Schizosaccharomyces pombe: one gene and its partners. The gene in region 1 interacts genetically with each later gene. Each region holds a gene or a part of one and is shown in the gene's direction. Other genes may lie near its edges.

Region 1 (4,321 bases):
TTTTTCTCCCAATGTGGACTTCGTAATTTCTTCAATTGAAAGTCATCAGAACGAAAACAGACATGATTATTTACTGAAATTATTTTATTTTTCACACATTATATTAACCAATTTAGTATTGAGACAAAAATCATTCCATGTAGTAATGGGGTTTGCGACGATTCTTTATTCTATTTGGGTAGTACTTTCATCTTTTGTGATTCTTTCAGCATACCAGCTGGAAGTTCGCAAATTTTTGGTTAAGTTGTTGTCCAAGATAGTCATCGGTGCATCTGAATCAAATGTTGCTTCTTTTTTTGCTTTTGTTTCAGAGAAAAGCTTAGAAGCGGCAAGCGTTAAGTTCGTTGCTACTATAATTGCTGAGCGTATGGGTGCCCAATTTTCTTCTTTCTACGACAAAATATTTTTTGTTGATATGCTTGGCCTTGGATCCTTGTTTGCTTTGGCCGCTGTTAATGTACTTGCCGCCCGAAAACTCGAGTCTGAATTACCCGCATCTCTTGAACCAAGCATCGGTAACCGCGATCAGCAAAAAAATAGCTCACTTGCAAAATGCTTCAGTAGGTTATTTATCAATGATTTACATGGGACAACCGTCAAACGCTACCCATACATCTCTTATCTTCCTAACTGGCTTTTAGCCAAAAATAATGCTGAGCGTCTCGTTTACAAAAGTCACCTTTTATTAAACGCTTATTCACCTCCAAAATCTGCATCCGCATCTTCTGTTATTGTTTGGGTTTGTGGTGCTAAGAAATCCGAAAGCATTATCATTCCCTACCTTTCATCTTTAGGCTTCTTCGTAGTGGTTCCCAATTACGCCCAGCCTCCAAAATTTCCCCTTTCCGATGCCGTCGAATTTGTATCTTTGTGTGTAGATTGGATAGTAGAGAATGCCATCTATTATGATGCAGATCCAGAACGTATTTTTTTCCTAGGTGAAGATACTGGTGCGTCTGTCGCTCTTGAGAGTCTAAAACACATTCGACCAAACTCTGTAAAAGGCATTTTTGCTCTGTGTCCCCGTTCTATTCAAAATTTAGTGTGGACAAATCAATCCACTATTCCTATGATGACATTACATGCTGGAGATGTCAATCCGGTTAGCGACAGTAATGATAGAGAATCATCCGAAAAGGCATCATTGATTAAAAATTTTGTTGTACCTGGTGCTGTCCCTTATTATTATGAATTTACTTCTCCAAGAACAATCTCAACGGTATGTCAATATAGTAAATTCCTTATTTCGTTAATCGTTTACTAACCCGCCAGGCTACGTTCATCGCACGTTGGTTCTTCTTAGTAGAAGATAATAAGAAAACAATTTAATTTTACGAGTGCATTCCTTCTCTAGATGGGTAGTTTTAAGTTTGTTTTAATATTTTACAAGCATATGCTTTTTTGTTTGCTAGATGTTTCATCTTTTTTGACAAGCATCCCAAAACCGGATAGATATCTGTTTTAAATGAATTAAATATTATATTTGGTTATATGCTGTTTATTGTGTCTTCTTACTTAAAATTTCGATTGTGATATGAAATAACAAAAATAATGACAGCAAACAAGTTTTTAAATTGTAAAAATTTTATAAGTATTGTTCAATATCATTAGGCGTAACAGTATAAAAACAGATGATACTAAATGGAGTATTTAGGCAGCTGTCAATTATCTATATTCTATCAACTACTAATCTTAGAGCAGTAGTAAATTTAATGATTATATGGATTTTCCAGGTCTGATTAAAAAAATAAAAGAAGATCTAGAAAACCGCTTAGTTGAGAAATCTAAACAACCAGCATTCACTGATTACTGGTGAGTAGATGCTAAAAGTTAACGCATATGTAAAGAGTGGCTACTGACAATTTAGGTTAATAAACAAAACTATCAGCTTGTTAAAGGAGTATCCCTCAGGGTTTAGCTATCCCATTTTAATTAACGAGATTGAATTAGCGGTAAGGAATCTACTTACTCTACAAGTCGATAAAATCTGACATGCATGAACGTAGTGCTCGGAGAGAAATAAATTGGACAATGGTAACGAGAAAGTTTACTTTTTTTTTTGGTATAAAGAGATATTGACCTCCTTTTTTGTAAACAGTTTTTTCTTCTTTGGAATGGTTAACGAAATCAGATGCAGTTATTTATTTGGAAGACCAGTTTCATTTTCATTGCTATGATTATTATTATACCCCAATACCGTCTTTGAAGCTGAAAGATAGTGAGGAGAATACGTGCGAAATGATTTTGCATTCCAGTTTTTATTTACTCTTCCATGAACCATTTAACATTTTGAAAGGTGTAAGGTTTTTGAATATCATCTCCTTTATAACAGTGATTATCTAAGACCTTTATTTAGTCAACTTTACGCTTTTCTCAGTCACGCATCCATCAAAAATGGTATTTACGAAAGCAAATACGTTTCCTTCCTACAACTAGCTTTGTTCCAGTATTGCAATATGCTGCATCAAAAAGTTTTGTGAAATCAATGGTTGAATCAACTGAACATGAATTCTTTCAAATACGTGATATTACTATAAGCAAAAGTGATCAAGGTGTGAAACGAATTACTGTGGAATTGGGTCGCATCATTTCTTTAGACAAAAAAGGTGCTTTTCTTATAGACAACAATACCAATTTTATACATTTCTCAGGGACTTACCATGATTTCCCTAAGCTGCTAGACAAGCAACAATACCTACTTATTCCATTTTGGAGTACCGTTTGGGAAGGCAGTACCAACTGGCAGGATGGAATGATCGGTATTTTGGTAATTTTAAGTGAGAATGACTTTGAAGAAAAAAAATGCGACTCCTGGCAAGTGGGACGCTTAGCTGCCGTTAATTCAAATTTTCTTGTACTGGATAACAATGGTCAGCGAGTGAAGATATTGTATTCCAATTCTCAAAAGCATTATTTCAAGGATACCTATATTGGAGATTTGCTATGCATTAGCCCAATCAATCATTCTTCTGACAATCTAAGTGATTATTCATGCGTTAGTGACACAACGACTGAAATTCGTAAGAAATGGTAAATTTATGGGATTGAATATTGATTTATTTTAGTGTCAAACTTGGAGAACCCGTTATCCTCAAACTTTTTGAGAAATGATTTATGCAAGTTCTCCAACCTTTTTTCAGGTGTTTCTGGGCATTTAAAAATTCAACCGTTAACTTTGGTGATCACCGGATTTGTAGCGAGTAAGGGTTGCTTGTTTTACGAAATACTAATTGAATGATAGATTTAACCCGCCAATCTGATTTAAATACCAGTTTGGTCTTGCCGGAAGTAAATCCATTAACAGCAAAAATGGAGGTAATTGACTGTTTAAGGAATAGTTTTTGGGCAGCTTTACGACCGAATTGTGTTTCATATTTTGCGTCTATGATTTCCGGCTTTAAAGAATTATTCCAAAAAGAAATGGAATTTCCAATATACCTGGATTTGAAGTCGTACAAGCTCGGATTCCATTGGTGTGATATTTATGTGGACTCAGAACACAACTGCCATATACAAAAAATAAACTCTCTGCCGTGTGAATAGCCATCGCCATTATCTGAATAATTATGTCTAACAAATAAAAATCAAACATTGAATGTTTGAATGAAAAGATGTACAGTTCATTCAATCATTCTCCGTTTTAAAAGCTTAGTTTGCTTAATTTACTAATATACTACAGTTTAAAAGGCTTATAAATAATGCATTTTTCCAAAAAAGAAATTCAAAGTTAGAATATTAATTGGCTCACCCTTGTGAGAAACAAAGCAATACGATACAATGAACAGCTAAATTAACAAAATTATAAAAGAAAATGAATCCGAATAACGAAATTTGTATGCCAAATTAGAAAGCATACCAATAACGTTCAAAGTAATGATATAAATGAAAGTGATGAAAAATGATTTTAAGAAAAATGAGGTTAGTAGAAAAATGAAGACGTTCAAATTTCTTCCTCCTGAGAGGCAGCTTCGATAAGGTTTCTATTGGAAATATCAGAAAGATTGGAAGGAAGGAATCTACTGGACGGTATCATCGCCGGGATAGCGTTGGCAGCATAATCGTGGATATTTTGAGAATGTCTAGCTCTATAAAGACCAAAGGCGTAATTGGATGTTAGTAGACTTCCAAATACAAGAATGAGGGAAAAAACCATAGTTTTATAAGAAATATGACTTATAAAAGCGTCTATAATCTCAGCAAAAACTAACGCTGCCAACTTTGTAGAACCGACATTATTAGAACTTTCCATTTTACATTGTTTCAGTTTTTGACAAACTTCAAAAATAGCAGGTCCTGGAGAGTCACAGTTAATAGAAAGATA
Region 2 (5,439 bases), on another chromosome or scaffold:
TTCGTTTAAATATCCTTTTTATTACTTGTTGTTTTAAAAGGTTCCTTATTGGTTTCATCGTTTTTCAATTGTTTGTATAAATCACATTTCTTGCCGTTTGTGATTTGTATATATTGTACCAACTGTTTTCTTTCTTCAGTCTAGACACATAGATATATATTCGCATATATATAACTAATCAGCTTCTCTCTTTTCTTACACTTTCACTTAACTTTTTGCTATATTTTCGAATTTGAATTTTTCTTGCCACTATGGTTACCACCGTTGAAATGTTAACTACCTGGAACCCAGTGACCGTTTCCTTGGTTTCTCCTGTCATCATTTACTGGGTTGCTTCTGCTTTCTTCGGATTTTTGCATTACATTGAATTACCTGTCTTTGAGAAGTATCGCATTCATCCTCCGGAGGAGATAGCCAGACGCAACCGTGTTCCTCAGATGGCTGTTGTTAAAGCCGTGCTTTTCCAACAACTTTGCGAAGTCGTCGTTGGAATCGCATTGGCCATGTTCGAGGGCTATCCTGAACCCATTGACGAGGCTAAGCAAATGTTACGCTACGAGGCTTTCTTCAGCAAGAATTTGCCTGCTTTGTTACAAGTTGCTCCCTTTGCCCCTAAATTGGCTTATAACTTTATTGTTCCCGCATTCCAATACTTCTTTGCTTTCTTCATCATTGACAGCTGGCAATACTTCTGGCACCGTTACCTCCACTACAACAAGAAGCTCTACAACATGATTCATGCCCATCACCATCGTCTCCAAGTTCCCTATGCTATGGGTGCCCTTTACAACCATCCCTTTGAAGGTTTGATTTTGGACACTTTTGGCGCTGGTGTTGCTTATCTCGCCGCCGGTCTTTCTCCTCAACAAGCTGTTATTTTCTTCACCCTTTCTACCTTGAAGACTGTTGATGATCACTGTGGATACGTATTCCCTTATGACCCTCTTCAAATGTTCTTTGCCAATAATGCTCGTTACCATGACCTTCATCACCAACCTTACGGTTTCCAAAAGAACTTTAGCCAGCCCTTCTTTACCTTCTGGGACCACGTTTTGGGAACTTACATGCCTCCCAAGTCTGAAACTCCTTACGAGAAAAAGCAAAAGGCTAAGAATGCAAAGAAGGTTAACTAGAAATTACAAAAGTACATGTGCTCTGTGATATTTGCATTTTTTGAATCTTTCTTATCCTTAGTACTTCTGCTGAATCCAATATACTGTTTTTTTTATATTGAGTTATAAATGTTTACTATTAATTTTTTCTCATTCTTTCTAGTTTCTTTGTTTGCTATTTTCATTTTTTTTGAAATTTTATTAATCTAATTGTTCTTCCTTTTAAATTTGTCGGTAGTACAAATCGATTGGCAATCCTTACTGTTGAAGTTATCCCTCCTATGACTCTAGGTATTTGTGATAACCGTAACCTTGTATTTTTATGTTATTTTCCACTTCTAAAGTCTCTTTAAAACGGGATGTTTGACACGGACTGCTGAAGAACACGATACTTACCTAAAGATGCATGTTTTTGTGTATCTTTACCAAAGTTGGTTGGTCAACGAATTTAAATCGTTTGTCGCTCATTATTGAATTTTCGACTTAGTATTGATTGTTTTAGTCTACATACAGTATATAATTTATTAATTGATAGCATTTATTATTTACAGACTTCCGAGGATATGGTATCGTAGACGCGTTTTATCAAATATTATAAAATTAATAACTTACTGTAAACACGGGTTAATATTTGCTTCGATTGTAACATATTATAACAAAAGTCAATTTATTTGCATTGCATTGCATAGGCCCCGAAAGCAAATTATGCAAGTTATACTTAAGGAACGACTAATGTAAAAAGGACTTTATGATAATTACAGTATTGAATGATAAAAAATTTGTGCAAAAGTTGTGAAGTAAAAAACACGTGCCTGGTGGTGACAGACGTGACGCGTCTTGACATACGCGCTTTCATTTGTCTCGTCCACTACCACCGTAAATTTGATTTTTATTAGTATAGCGCTTTCATTTCTGTACCTCCTTGTCAACAGCCGTTTCCTCGACATTGACAAATTTCTTCAACCGGTATCCCAATTAATACAATCAACAAAGGGATACTTCCAACTCTTATGTGCTTGGACCGCTTATCATAGGTGTTAGGTCGAGGTCGCATAAGTCAGTAGCAGATTGTTGTTTAAATTCAAACTGAAATTGTTTTCTTGTTGCTTTTCTTCGATCAAACAATTTTGGGTGATCTATTTCGTTTACGGTTTCTTTTTTTAGACAACCTGCGTACAGATCGCCTTCCAGTTTCTTGAAGTAATTCGATGAATGTTTTCGTGCCAATCTCTTTATAAATTTAGTCACTCTTTTAGGAAACGTATCCCCGTCATGTTTCAAAGAGCTCAGCAGAAAAGCAGCTTGCTTCATACACAAAACGAGTCATCGCATCAACCCTCCTTGAACAAATTGGGCGGTTTTTCGTCCGCTTCTTTAAACTTCAATTCCTCTCGCTCCTCTACTAATGATGATCAGCAAACATTTTCTAGCCAGTCTGATAACCTTCCGTCATCTCCAATAACCCTACCAGCCAAAAGAGGTCGTTCTGCTGCTAGCTTAAAACAACTTGATAACACCGTGGGATTCGATGTTTCGAAACCCTCACTGCCCGTTTTTGAAAATTCTGGCTTGGGTAGTAAATACTCCACTGAAATAGCGAATGGCGTCTATATTGATGAAAATGACTTTGATGATGATCTACTTTTAGAAAACGATATTGACCAAAAACCAATTCCTTGGTCTTCATCCCCTATCGAGCATACTAAGTTAACTAAATCAATGCTCTCGAGCGAAAAGCGGTCAAAAAATCATCTCTCAAAAATTTACGAAGACCATACTTCTGAAAAAGGCGCAAGTAGCGTAATATCTAGTAATATTACGAGGCAGGGAATAAAACGCTCACGAACCCTTCCTTGGGCAGTGGATCCTTACAGATATGGAGATCCTGATCCTAAAAGAACCAGCACTTCAGCTGATATCAGTCAACACACTGTATCTAATGATTCTTCAAATAAGCTTAGCAATGGACGAAGCAGTTCTTTGGATAGTCTGGCTAAAAAACGCATGAGTAAATCTAAGTCTACCCCACAGATATCTAAAAAATTTTCTGTTCCTTTAAACTCTGCTTCCAAATCGCCAATAGGATCTTCTTTGTTTAAGACAAGTGATTCTCGTAAAAAATCTGTCCCTAGCATATTCCTTTCCGATGAGCAAAAAAGAATTTTAGACATGGTTGTTGAGCAACAACACAGTATATTTTTTACGGGCTCTGCTGGAACAGGTAAATCTGTTCTCCTCCGAAAAATAATTGAAGTCCTAAAATCTAAATATAGAAAGCAATCTGACAGAGTTGCTGTTACCGCTTCTACAGGCTTGGCAGCCTGTAATATCGGCGGTGTAACACTTCACTCCTTTGCTGGGGTAGGCCTTGCTCGTGAATCTGTCGACCTCCTGGTATCTAAAATAAAGAAAAATAAGAAGTGTGTTAATCGTTGGTTGCGCACCAGAGTTTTGATCATTGATGAAGGTAAACAATTTAAGTGAGTTTATATTTACTAATAACTATAGTTTCTATGGTCGATGCTGAATTAATGGACAAGTTAGAAGAGGTTGCGCGTGTTATTCGCAAAGATAGTAAGCCATTTGGTGGAATTCAGTTGGTTTTAACTGGGGATTTTTTTCAGTTACCTCCTGTTCCAGAAAATGGGAAAGAATCGAAATTCTGTTTCGAATCTCAGACATGGAAAAGCGCACTTGATTTTACAATAGGATTGACTCACGTTTTTCGGCAAAAGGATGAGGAATTTGTCAAAATGCTTAATGAATTGCGCCTCGGGAAATTATCTGATGAATCGGTTAGAAAATTCAAAGTTCTTAATAGAACGATTGAATATGAAGATGGGCTTCTTCCGACAGAGTTATTTCCCACACGTTATGAGGTTGAGCGTTCGAACGATATGCGTATGCAACAAATTAATCAAAATCCTGTCACGTTTACCGCTATTGACTCGGGTACTGTTCGAGATAAAGAATTTCGTGACCGATTACTGCAAGGGTGCATGGCTCCTGCCACTTTAGTGTTAAAGGTAAATGCTCAGGTAATGCTTATAAAGAATATAGATGATCAGTTAGTAAATGGATCTCTTGGAAAAGTTATAGGTTTCATAGATGATGAGACCTATCAAATGGAAAAAAAGGATGCTGAAATGCAGGGAAGAAATGCTTTTGAATATGATAGTTTAGACATTTCACCCTTTGATCTTCCAGACGTTAAGCAAAAGAAATATAAATTGATTGCAATGCGTAAAGCTTCATCCACGGCAATAAAATGGCCATTAGTTCGTTTTAAACTTCCAAATGGAGGTGAACGTACAATTGTTGTACAACGGGAAACTTGGAATATTGAGCTTCCCAATGGTGAGGTTCAAGCTTCTAGAAGCCAAATTCCTCTTATTTTGGCTTATGCGATATCTATTCACAAGGCACAAGGACAGACTTTGGATCGAGTCAAGGTTGATTTGGGTCGTGTTTTTGAGAAAGGGCAAGCGTATGTTGCCTTATCTCGTGCAACTACTCAAGAAGGTCTCCAGGTTCTTAATTTTTCGCCTGCGAAGGTGATGGCACACCCCAAAGTCGTGCAATTCTATAAACAACTGGCTTCTGTTAATGGTTTGCCGATACGTAATGAAAACAAGGCTCCAGTTCAAATGAGGGGAGTCAAAAATAAGTAAAAATCAATTTTTACGAGTTTACCATGTACTAAAGATTTATTCATAACGGCCTGAATATATATGGTTGAAGTGTACAGTGATTTTAGACTAATTAGGTAATTTTATTCATAGAAATAATTTTAATAATATATTCATATATTTAATTTCTTCTTTGTTTATTAAATTTGAGCTTTACATTTATTATTATTTTTCCTATGGTGCTAATTCATTTCTATAACAGCGGTATTCCTTGAGGATGTTTAATTATGTACAGGAAGTAATTGTTACAAGGCCACCTTCTAGTAATCTTTAACTATCGCATAAACTGTAATTAAACGAACAGGGTGCACCTCGCTTCAATCAGTCTCTTAACTTTAATAGCCAACACACCTTGACCATGCATAAAAACTGAACATTTAATCCACTTTCAATCAGAACTTTGAAATCGATAACATAAACACAGTTTTGATCGATTTATATACTGTTAAATTCTCGCCTCAAATACCCTGTCGAAAGAAACGACAGATAATCTATTATTATTTCCACAAAGTAATGCTAGAAAAATGAAACGTGTGGTAATAACTGGACTGGGGGCCGTAACCCCTCTAGGCAATGGAGTTAAAACCAATTGGCGAAATCTAATTCAAGGAAAATCAGGTATCGTATCTCTTAAAGGA
Region 3 (5,118 bases), on another chromosome or scaffold:
TTAGGAAAAAATTAAAATGAAAGTCATTATGAGATATAACAAAAAAAAAATACCCAGACAGGGTTTCTCTTTAGCTTTCTCAATCAAAAATAAAAGATAAAAGACGCAACCACCAAAACTATAGATAGGTTTAAAAATTTTAATGAGTGCAGTTAAAATAGGAGAGACAAGAAAGCTAGAAGTTCAATATATTAATTATTGTTCAAATATACATACAAATTTGTCATCATCATTAAAATCATGTATACCAACAAGCCCCAGTAAGCCTCTCAAATTAACCATCTCTGTTAAGAAAATCAATTAAACCATTTTTGATAGAGAAATGATTACGTTTAACCATAAGCACATAGAAAATATCTCTGGTTTCACCAGTATAAACAGCGTTTCACAAAAAGCATCACCAGATTAAGTATAACCTACATGTTTTGACGTTAAATTATACGCCAAAAAAGAAGGGAATTCAAAAAAGTTATTAACGCTACCGTAAATTTTTACTGATTCGAGATCGCTCCAAGAAAAAATTTGATATATCTTCCTTGGTGACAACCCTATTTTCACGAGCAAATGGAGTGAGGAAGTCCGTTAGCTCAGATTTTAAGCGATTATACGCATAAACGCTTTCGTTAGCTTGTACACGAGGAAGTCTGTCCAAAATACGAAGGACATCATTCATTGTGCTAGATATGACTTGCTCAATCATTTCTCCAGATTCACTGGGATCCTCATTCATCTCACTGATTCCATCCTCAGAATCCTCAGGAGGTTCGTAAATAGGTTCTTCTGCCACCAACATTGGCATCTCCAAATTACGCAAACTGATGCAAGATTCACAAGGGCACAAATTTTCCCTAAAGTTTTCTGAAAGAAATAGAGGCGCTCGTTCTGTACCAGCTATGCTTTCATGCTTCTGGTTTAAAAGATGATCGCGGTATTTTTCTGAACATTCTGAACACACCAACCATTCAAAAGTCTCAGCATCTGGGATTGCAATTCCTTTATTAGTTTTCTGCAGACACTTTTCGTGAAACCAATCTTCGCAAAGGATGCATTGAAACATAGTTCCTTCCTCTGTCTCTGGATTATACACCGTATCACATATGCAAAATCGCCCTTCGAAATTATGATTATAATCATTTTCTGAGCCACATTCATCAACGGATTTCCGTAAATTACAAGGTATGGAGTGGGTTCTTGTGGTGCCACAATCACATCGAAAATGTCGTTTATTGAATAGGTCCACAAGATCATGGTCAGCATGGCAGCTAATACTGCAGCTATAGCAAACAGCATTTAAGCTTCCGCTAGCTTTTTGACATGTCAAACAAGCGTATAAAGGTTGCTTCAAATAGCCCATCGAATAAGTGCACGTGTCAAAGCTGTAAGGCAAAACTTCTCGTGCCTCCCTTTCAAGCTCCCTTTGCTGTTCAACATATTGCTTAACCGTTAATTCATGAGCCGTTTCCTCCATAAGTTATTAAATGCAACTAAACGTTGGCAAATAGACGGCGTAAACAATTGCGAAGAATGTCTTTTGAATAATTCAAAACACTAACTCATTACGCTCCTCTATTTCATTTACAGGTATCACTACATTTTCCAATACAATTTAACAATATACTGTAGCATTTCTTATTCTTTCATCCTGCAATACTCTAGCTATTCAATGCATTAAAATAGTTAGAAACAACATCTTTAAAGTATTTGAGTCCAAAGATGGATTCTTTTCGGAAAAGGGGTCGCCGCGATTCTGAAAGTTTACCTTTTGAATCAGAAAATTCTTCTCTCGGTGCTACACCTCTTTCTTTACCTCCTTCTTCACCTCCTCCAGAATTCTCTGATGAAGCTGCAGAAGCTCTCGTGGAGGAGGATATTGAGGATCTGGACGGAGAAGCTTTAGATGTAGAGGATGAAGAAGGTGAAGATTTGTTCGGAGAAGGAATGGAACGGTAAGTTTTATAGCTATGCTTGAGACGTGTCTTGTCAATGTTGTGTATACTAAGTGTTGCCATCAATATATAAATTACATACTATTTCTTCTCCTTCTTGTAAATAAATATATTTATTGGATTCCTAGGTTGCGGTTATATTGACAGAACAAATCTTGATTTTCAAAAGAGTAGTTTCACATTTCGCGTCAAATAAGGTACTTTTTTCTAACTGTATAGTGATTATCAACAAAATTTGGAGCTAGATCGTTATGACATTGAAGAACTAGATGACGATAACGATCTTGAAGAATTAGATATCGGGGCCCGAAGAGCTGTTGATGCCAGGTTGAGACGACGTGATATTGAGCTCGATGCTGCTGCAGGTAGAACAAAACCTGCTGCATTTTTACAAGATGAAGATGATGATTTGGACTCCAATCTTGGCACAGGCTTCACTCGTCATCGACATCGAATTTACGACGAATATTCACCTAATGTTGGCGCATTGGACGAATCTGGTGAACTTCCTCTTGAATCAATTGCCGACGTAAAGGCCGATAGTATTGCCGAATGGGTTACTCTTGATCCTGTTCGGCGTACAATTGCTCGAGAATTCAAAAATTTCCTTCTTGAATATACAGATGAAAATGGCACCTCTGTATACGGTAACCGTATTCGCACATTGGGTGAGGTTAATGCTGAGTCGTTGATGGTTAATTATGCCCATCTTGGTGAATCTAAACCCATTTTGGCTTATTTCTTGGCCAATGCGCCTGCACCTATTTTTCGCATATTTGATCGTGTTGCTTTGGAAGCCACTCTTTTGCATTATCCAGACTATGAAAGAATACACTCTGATATTCATGTTCGTATCACTAATCTTCCTACTTGTTTTACTTTACGCGATCTACGACAATCCCATCTTAATTGCCTTGTACGGGTATCTGGTGTCGTAACTAGGCGCACTGGGCTTTTTCCACAATTAAAATACATTCGGTTTACATGTACCAAATGTGGTGCTACTTTGGGTCCATTTTTTCAAGACTCTAGCGTTGAAGTAAAAATTTCTTTCTGTCACAACTGTTCCAGCCGTGGTCCGTTTGTAATCAACTCTGAACGGACTGTATATAATAACTATCAAAGGATCACTTTACAAGAATCACCTGGCACCGTCCCCTCAGGTAGACTGCCTCGACACCGTGAAGTTATTCTTTTAGCGGACTTGGTTGATGTTGCCAAACCAGGCGAAGAGATTGATGTTACTGGCATATACCGCAATAACTTCGATGCTAGTCTGAATACCAAAAACGGGTTTCCTGTCTTCGCTACAATTATAGAAGCAAATCACATATCGCAACTTGACGGCAGTGGTAATACTGATGATGATTTCTCTTTAAGTCGGCTTACTGATGATGAGGAAAGGGAAATTCGGGCATTAGCAAAGTCGCCTGATATTCACAACAGAATTATTGCATCGATGGCGCCTTCTATTTATGGACATCGCTCTATCAAAACTGCTATTGCTGCTGCTTTATTCGGTGGTGTCCCCAAAAATATTAACGGTAAGCATAAAATTAGAGGTGATATCAATGTTTTATTGTTGGGAGATCCAGGAACCGCCAAATCTCAATTTCTTAAGTATGTTGAAAAAACGGCACATAGGGCTGTCTTCGCCACAGGTCAGGGTGCCAGTGCTGTTGGTCTAACTGCATCCGTCCGTAAAGACCCCATTACGAATGAATGGACTTTGGAAGGGGGTGCTTTGGTTTTAGCAGATAAAGGTGTTTGTTTGATTGACGAGTTCGATAAAATGAATGATCAGGATCGTACTTCTATTCACGAAGCCATGGAACAACAAAGTATTTCTATTTCTAAGGCGGGTATTGTGACTACCTTGCAGGCGAGGTGCACTATTATTGCTGCCGCTAATCCCATCGGTGGACGTTATAACACTACAATTCCTTTTAATCAAAATGTTGAGCTGACCGAACCTATTTTATCTCGTTTTGACATCCTTCAGGTCGTCAAAGACACGGTTAATCCTGAAATTGATGAACAGCTAGCTAATTTTGTTGTATCAAGTCATATTCGATCTCATCCTGCATTTGATCCGAATATGGATGTCTTGAAGAAAGTCCCTACTGAGACTGGTATTGATGCCAAACCCATTCCCCAAGATCTTCTTCGTAAATATATCCATTTCGCTCGTGAAAAAGTTTTTCCTCGATTACAGCAAATGGATGAAGAAAAGATTTCGAGACTTTATAGCGATATGAGACGCGAGTCACTGGCTACTGGAAGTTATCCTATTACTGTGCGTCATCTGGAGTCTGCTATCCGTTTAAGTGAAGCATTTGCAAAAATGCAGCTCAGTGAGTTTGTGCGCCCTTCACATATAGACAAAGCCATTCAAGTGATTATTGATTCCTTTGTGAATGCCCAAAAAATGAGTGTTAAACGAAGTTTGTCAAGAACATTTGCTAAATATCTTATTTAATTTTTTGACACAATCAGTTTATGGAGTCCAGTGATTTTGATTTCCCCGTTCTTTGACCCTCCTTTTGTTACTGCATCTGTTGCATATATCTATCCTTTAATAATTTGCAATCAAAATTTGCTTTACATTTTTATACCTATCTTTACATTCATTCTTTCTTAGTTTTCAAAATGTCAATCTAAATTATTTAGGTTAATAACACTTGTTTTGAATATCATTATTGACTATTCGCTATAGATACTAGGTGTATAGATACTTTCTCCGCTGTATCAATATTATTAGCTGTTTCATTAAAGAGCCACTGCCCATGTGAAATGACATTTTTTGAAACAGCTGAGGTTTTTTACATATAGAGCTAAATTGTCCATTTCCAAATTTAAAGGGAAGTCAACTTTTGACAATCGGAAATGCATCCAGTTCATATCTGATGTTCCTGAAGAATCTCAAATTTCACACTTTATTATCTAAAATTATTTATATCGTGTTACTCTTTCAAATCAGTCTTTTTATTTGGTATATATTTTGCCCTACCCTTACCTACTTATATTCGTACATCCACCAAGTAAACTTGACACAAAAACAAAATGGCCTATCCCGGGCAGTTTGGAAATTACGGTAATCCTGAGACTTATAGGCAAAATGTTGCTGGCAATATTGCTTCATATGGGGGCCCTGAAATTGACACTCAGTTAG
Region 4 (4,469 bases), 1.8 Mb from region 1:
TTCATACACTAAGGAATTTCACAACAATTCAAACACAGCTTTTACAGTAAATGCTCATACTTTGTTGTAAAACATATGAATTGGTGTAACATTAAGTGTGGCTTGCAGGCGAAAATACTCTTTTATAGATGAACAAAAAAGTATTTAAATAATTATATTTTATATGAGAAGACCAAGTTATTTAAGTTTGATCAACAGAGATGTTAATCAATCTGTATGCCAAAACTTGTTACCAATGGACTGTGTCTTTGAGGAAGGGTAAGGCCTGTTACGTACGCGCTCCTTCCAAACATGGTGGGTAGGTATGTAGACAACTTCACCGGAGCCATCACGAAATTCCAACAACAATGGATAATCATATGCTAAACCGAATTAGTAAATCACCGATTCTTCCAGTGGTGTCATATTGCATGGCTTCCATATTGATGACTTTGACCAATAAATATGTTCTTTCGAGTCCTGGTTACAATATGAACTTTCTCCTTTTGACTGTACAATCCACTGTTTGTGTAGCAGCCATTGGGATACTAAAACGTTTGAAAGTTATTAATTATAGGGATTTTGATTTTCGTGAGGCCAAATTTTGGTTTCCTATTTCCTTTTTATTGGTAGCTATGATTTATACTGCATCGAAGGCTTTGCAATTTCTTTCTGTTCCAGTGTACACTATATTTAAGAATTTAACTATTATTATCATTGCTTATGGTGAGGTCCTTTGGTTTGGCGGGCATGTTACTGCTTTAACTCTTTTTTCTTTTGGATTAATGGTTCTTTCTTCTATTGTCGCTGCTTGGGCAGACATCCAGTCTTCCTCATTTGCTTCCCAAACCTTAAATTCTGGCTATTTATGGATGGTGCTTAACTGTCTCACAAATGCTGCTTTTGTTCTCGCGATGCGTAAGCGTATCAAACTTACCAACTTTCGTGACTTTGATACCATGTTTTATAACAACTTACTCAGTATCCCTGTTTTGGTTATCTGCACGCTCTTTACTGAGGACTGGAGTGCTGAAAACATTGCTCAAAATTTCCCTCCTGATGCCAAATTTGGTGTTCTAATGGCTATGGCTATTAGTGGTGTTTCTTCAGTAGGAATTTCTTACACCTCTGCCTGGTGTGTACGCGTAACTTCTTCGACAACTTATAGTATGGTTGGTGCTCTTAACAAACTTCCCTTGGCTATTGCCGGTTTAGTGTTTTTTGATGCACCCATCACTTTTGGATCTGTTACCGCTATTTTGTTGGGCTTTATTTCTGGTGTTGTTTATGCCGTTGCTAAATCTCAACAGCAACGTCAGAAAGATCCTGCTACCATCCTCCCTATGACTCATAATCCCGTTAGTGCTAGTTCTCAAAGCATGCGCGATAGTCTGTCAAAGTCTTAAACCCTTTGTGTTGGTTATTATTTATGTTTAATTTGCAAAATTTTTTCAAGCCTGCATAAGAGAATAGACTTTGTTTCTTTTTACTTAAAAAGTTTTTATTACCGTTACTCAAAATATACCGCTTTTACTCGTGTTCGATAAAAACCTGATTACGAGATCGTGTCGTTTATTACAACGTGACTATTAGGTTTGAAATATTTTGACAGATAAAACACTGACATTCAATTACAATTTTTAGACCTCTATTATTTCATTTCCTAAATCATTTGCTTTTTTTTTCTAAATATCATTTCTTTCTTTAAAATGCTCTCCGATGGAAAAAGGACGTCTAATGTTCTTATGTCTTCGTTTCCTTTTACTGAGCTTCTAAACTATTGGTTGAATGTTTGTCAGCCGCTTGGAGTCGAATTGTTTAGTGATTCAATTTTACTAATATTTTACCTCCAAAAAATTATTTGTTTTTTTGTATATTATTGAAATACTGTAATAAATACAAATACGATAGCTAAGTTAACGAAATGTATCGTGCTAAAAGTTTTCATAGGCCGTCACCTTTCAGTAGGCAAAAACCTACCAACTACCAAAAACGAAGTACAAGAGGTAATTCGTTGCTTGAACTGTCTGTTCAAGTTATAAAAAAATAGGATTTCGGTTTTCGGATTTTTCATAGTGTGTACAAGAACCTTGGGTATAAAAAACTTTAAAACAAATTTTACAAAATGAGTGAGACTGCTGAGAAAGCTATCGAAATTTGGAAAATTCGCCGTTTGGTAAAACAATTGATTAACTGTCATGGAAACGGCACCTCAATGATTACGTTAATTATCCCACCTGGCGAACAAATATCCAGATACAGCAATATGCTTGCCGAAGAGTATGGCACTGCCTCTAACATTAAATCTCGTGTGAATCGTTTATCAGTTCTATCTGCAATTACTTCAACTCGTGAGCGTTTGAAATTGTACAATAAAGTCCCTGATAATGGATTGGTCATTTACTGCGGTGAAGTTATAATGGAGGGCAATAAGACACGCAAGCTCAACATTGATTTCGAACCCTTCAAACCAATTAATACTTCGCAATATCTTTGTGATAATAAATTTCATACTGAAGCTTTAGCAGAATTGCTTGAAAGTGATCAACGCTTCGGATTTATTGTTATGGACGGTCATCAAACTTTATATGGTGTTGTTTCTGGTAGTGCTCGTGAGGTTTTACAACGATTCACTGTCGATTTACCTAAAAAACATGGACGTGGTGGTCAATCTGCTCTTCGTTTTGCCCGTTTACGTGATGAAAAACGTCACAACTATGTTCGAAAGGTTGCTGAAGGTGCTGTGCAGCATTTTATTACTGATGATAAACCTAATGTTGCGGGTATTGTTCTTGCTGGTTCTGCTGATTTTAAAACGGAACTCGGTCAAAGTGACTTGTTTGACCAACGTCTTCAATCTCGTATTATCAAGACTGTAGACGTCTCGTACGGTGGCGACGCTGGTTTTAACCAGGCTATAGAATTGGCTGCTGATACTTTGTCAAATGTGAAATATGTCCAAGAGAAAAAATTGATACAACGCTTTTTCGACGAAATTAGCTTAGATTCGGGTAAATACTGTTTTGGTGTCGTTGATACTATGAATGCACTTCAGGAAGGTGCCGTAGAAACACTTCTGTGTTTTGCAGACCTTGATATGATCCGTTATGAGTTTAAGAACTCAGAAGGTAATCCTGTTATTACATATATGACTAAGGAGCAAGAGGAAAAGGATTCTACCAATTCGTTCTTGCTAGATAAGGATACAGGTGCTGAAATGGAGTTAGTAAGCTCTATGCTACTCTCTGAATGGCTTGCTGAACATTACAAGGATTACGGTGCTAACTTAGAGTTTGTTTCTGACCGATCTCAGGAAGGTATGCAATTTGTCAAAGGTTTTGGTGGTATTGGTGCTGTTATGCGTTACCAGCTTGATCTCTCCATGCTTGATCCTGAATCTGATGAATTTTATTCCGACTCCGACTAATTTTCCCCTTAAAAGTAATATAATAAACTAAGCGTGATTTGTATTTACCGATTGTCATTTAATCTTTTTGAGTTACTATCTTTTGTTGGTTGCTTAGTGATATTTGAGGTTTGCCATTATAAATCTTATCGACTTATTTTTCTTAGACTATGTAAATTCACTCGCTTCTTCTCCTTCATAAGTTGTGTCGTACTATTATTCTTTTTGTTTTTTTCAAATAAATTAGCGGTAGGCTAATATTTTTCTTTAGCTGCCTTCACTGCTGTCCGCAAATTTGGGAAAATATTAATTAAAATGCCGAGCATCATACTGATTTCTCGAACAGTAAGTATATTGCATCTCTTACGATTTTAAGTTTAAATATTTCTAAAATTGCAAGTTTAGCAATTAAATAAGTATTTAGGATTGATTTAGTTTGTGATTTGAGCTCTCATGAATTTTAGCATTAACGAGATTTACGGTCGTATCTTGTCGCAATCTACAAATAGAAGCTTGTCCTTAGCAAGTAGCATATATCTTGCAATACTATAATCTTCTGCAAGATGTCAAACGAATCTAATATAATTACAGTTCCTATACTCGGAAAGGATACTGTGAGAGTTGGATTTGGTATACATCAATATATATGCACTGAAATTCTGGAAAACTTCAAGTCTTCGACATACGTCGTAATTACAGATTCAAATATTGCACCTCTTTACCTGGAAAAGATTGAAAGTACTTTTAATAAGTCTATTAAAGATGCCAAGGCTGAAGCAAGGTTGCTTACTTATGTGATTCCTCCTGGAGAATCTTCAAAATGCCGAGCTATGAAAGCGGAAATTGAAGATTGGTTGCTCACACAATCCTGTACACGAGATACCATCCTTATTGCTATGGGAGGTGGAGTTATTGGTGATTTAGTGGGATATGTAGCTGCTTCATTCATGCGTGGCATTCGTTTTATTCAGATGCCTACCACCTTGCTTGCTATGGTTGATTCTTCTATTGGAGGGAAGACAGGTATTGACACTCCCTTGGGAAAAAACCTTGTTGGTGCTTTTTGGCAACCTCTTAGAGTGTA

Evidence for each region.
Region 2: of cdc24 (region 1) and pfh1, a mutation in one rescues a mutant of the other (synthetic rescue), as found in Schizosaccharomyces pombe (3 studies listed by BioGRID).
Region 3: mutations in cdc24 (region 1) and mcm2 impair growth when combined (synthetic growth defect), as found in Schizosaccharomyces pombe (one study listed by BioGRID).
Region 4: of cdc24 (region 1) and erf1, a mutation in one rescues a mutant of the other (synthetic rescue), as found in Schizosaccharomyces pombe (one study listed by BioGRID).

Annotation. Positions count from the first base shown.
Region 1 is NC_003424.3:2,863,187-2,867,507, reverse strand, and holds cdc24 (DNA replication protein Cdc24), read left to right. Parts: upstream 1-1,681; 5' UTR 1,682-1,720; coding exon 1,721-1,812; exon of another isoform or gene 1,813-1,867; coding exon 1,868-1,952; exon of another isoform or gene 1,953-2,006; coding exon 2,007-2,034; exon of another isoform or gene 2,035-2,098; coding exon 2,099-2,298; intron 2,299-2,356; coding exon 2,357-3,020; intron 3,021-3,065; coding exon 3,066-3,200; intron 3,201-3,241; coding exon 3,242-3,543; 3' UTR 3,544-3,778; downstream 3,779-4,321. Other genes in the region: SPOM_SPAC8F11.08C (esterase/lipase), read left to right, coding at 146-1,219, 1,273-1,329; brr6 (nuclear envelope protein Brr6/Brl1), read right to left, coding at 3,941-4,321. UniProt on the Schizosaccharomyces pombe protein: Has a role in the progression of DNA replication and in the maintenance of genomic integrity. Acts during S phase, after initiation, where it is essential for completion.
Region 2 is NC_003423.3:3,567,074-3,572,512, reverse strand, and holds pfh1 (DNA repair and recombination protein), read left to right. Parts: upstream 1-2,036; 5' UTR 2,037-2,324; coding exon 2,325-3,579; exon of another isoform or gene 3,580-3,620; coding exon 3,621-4,783; 3' UTR 4,784-4,920; downstream 4,921-5,439. Other genes in the region: sphingosine hydroxylase/sphingolipid delta-4 desaturase Sur2, read left to right, coding at 252-1,133; cem1 (3-oxoacyl-[acyl-carrier-protein]-synthase condensing enzyme), read left to right, coding at 5,326-5,439.
Region 3 is NC_003423.3:1,190,704-1,195,821, reverse strand, and holds mcm2 (MCM complex subunit Mcm2), read left to right. Parts: upstream 1-1,679; 5' UTR 1,680-1,713; coding exon 1,714-1,946; exon of another isoform or gene 1,947-2,165; coding exon 2,166-4,425; 3' UTR 4,426-4,614; downstream 4,615-5,118. Other genes in the region: ubiquitin protein ligase E3 component mlo2, read right to left, coding at 479-1,468; COPII-coated vesicle-associated protein Sfb3, read left to right, coding at 5,010-5,118. UniProt on the Schizosaccharomyces pombe protein: Acts as a component of the mcm2-7 complex (mcm complex) which is the putative replicative helicase essential for 'once per cell cycle' DNA replication initiation and elongation in eukaryotic cells.
Region 4 is NC_003424.3:4,689,823-4,694,291, forward strand, and holds erf1 (cytoplasmic translation release factor class I eRF1), read left to right. Parts: upstream 1-1,957; 5' UTR 1,958-2,104; coding exon 2,105-3,406; 3' UTR 3,407-3,916; downstream 3,917-4,469. Other genes in the region: GDP-mannose transporter Vrg4, read left to right, coding at 348-1,385; multifunctional aromatic polypeptide Aro1, read left to right, coding at 3,949-4,469. UniProt on the Schizosaccharomyces pombe protein: Component of the eRF1-eRF3-GTP ternary complex, a ternary complex that mediates translation termination in response to the termination codons. The eRF1-eRF3-GTP complex binds to a stop codon in the ribosomal A-site.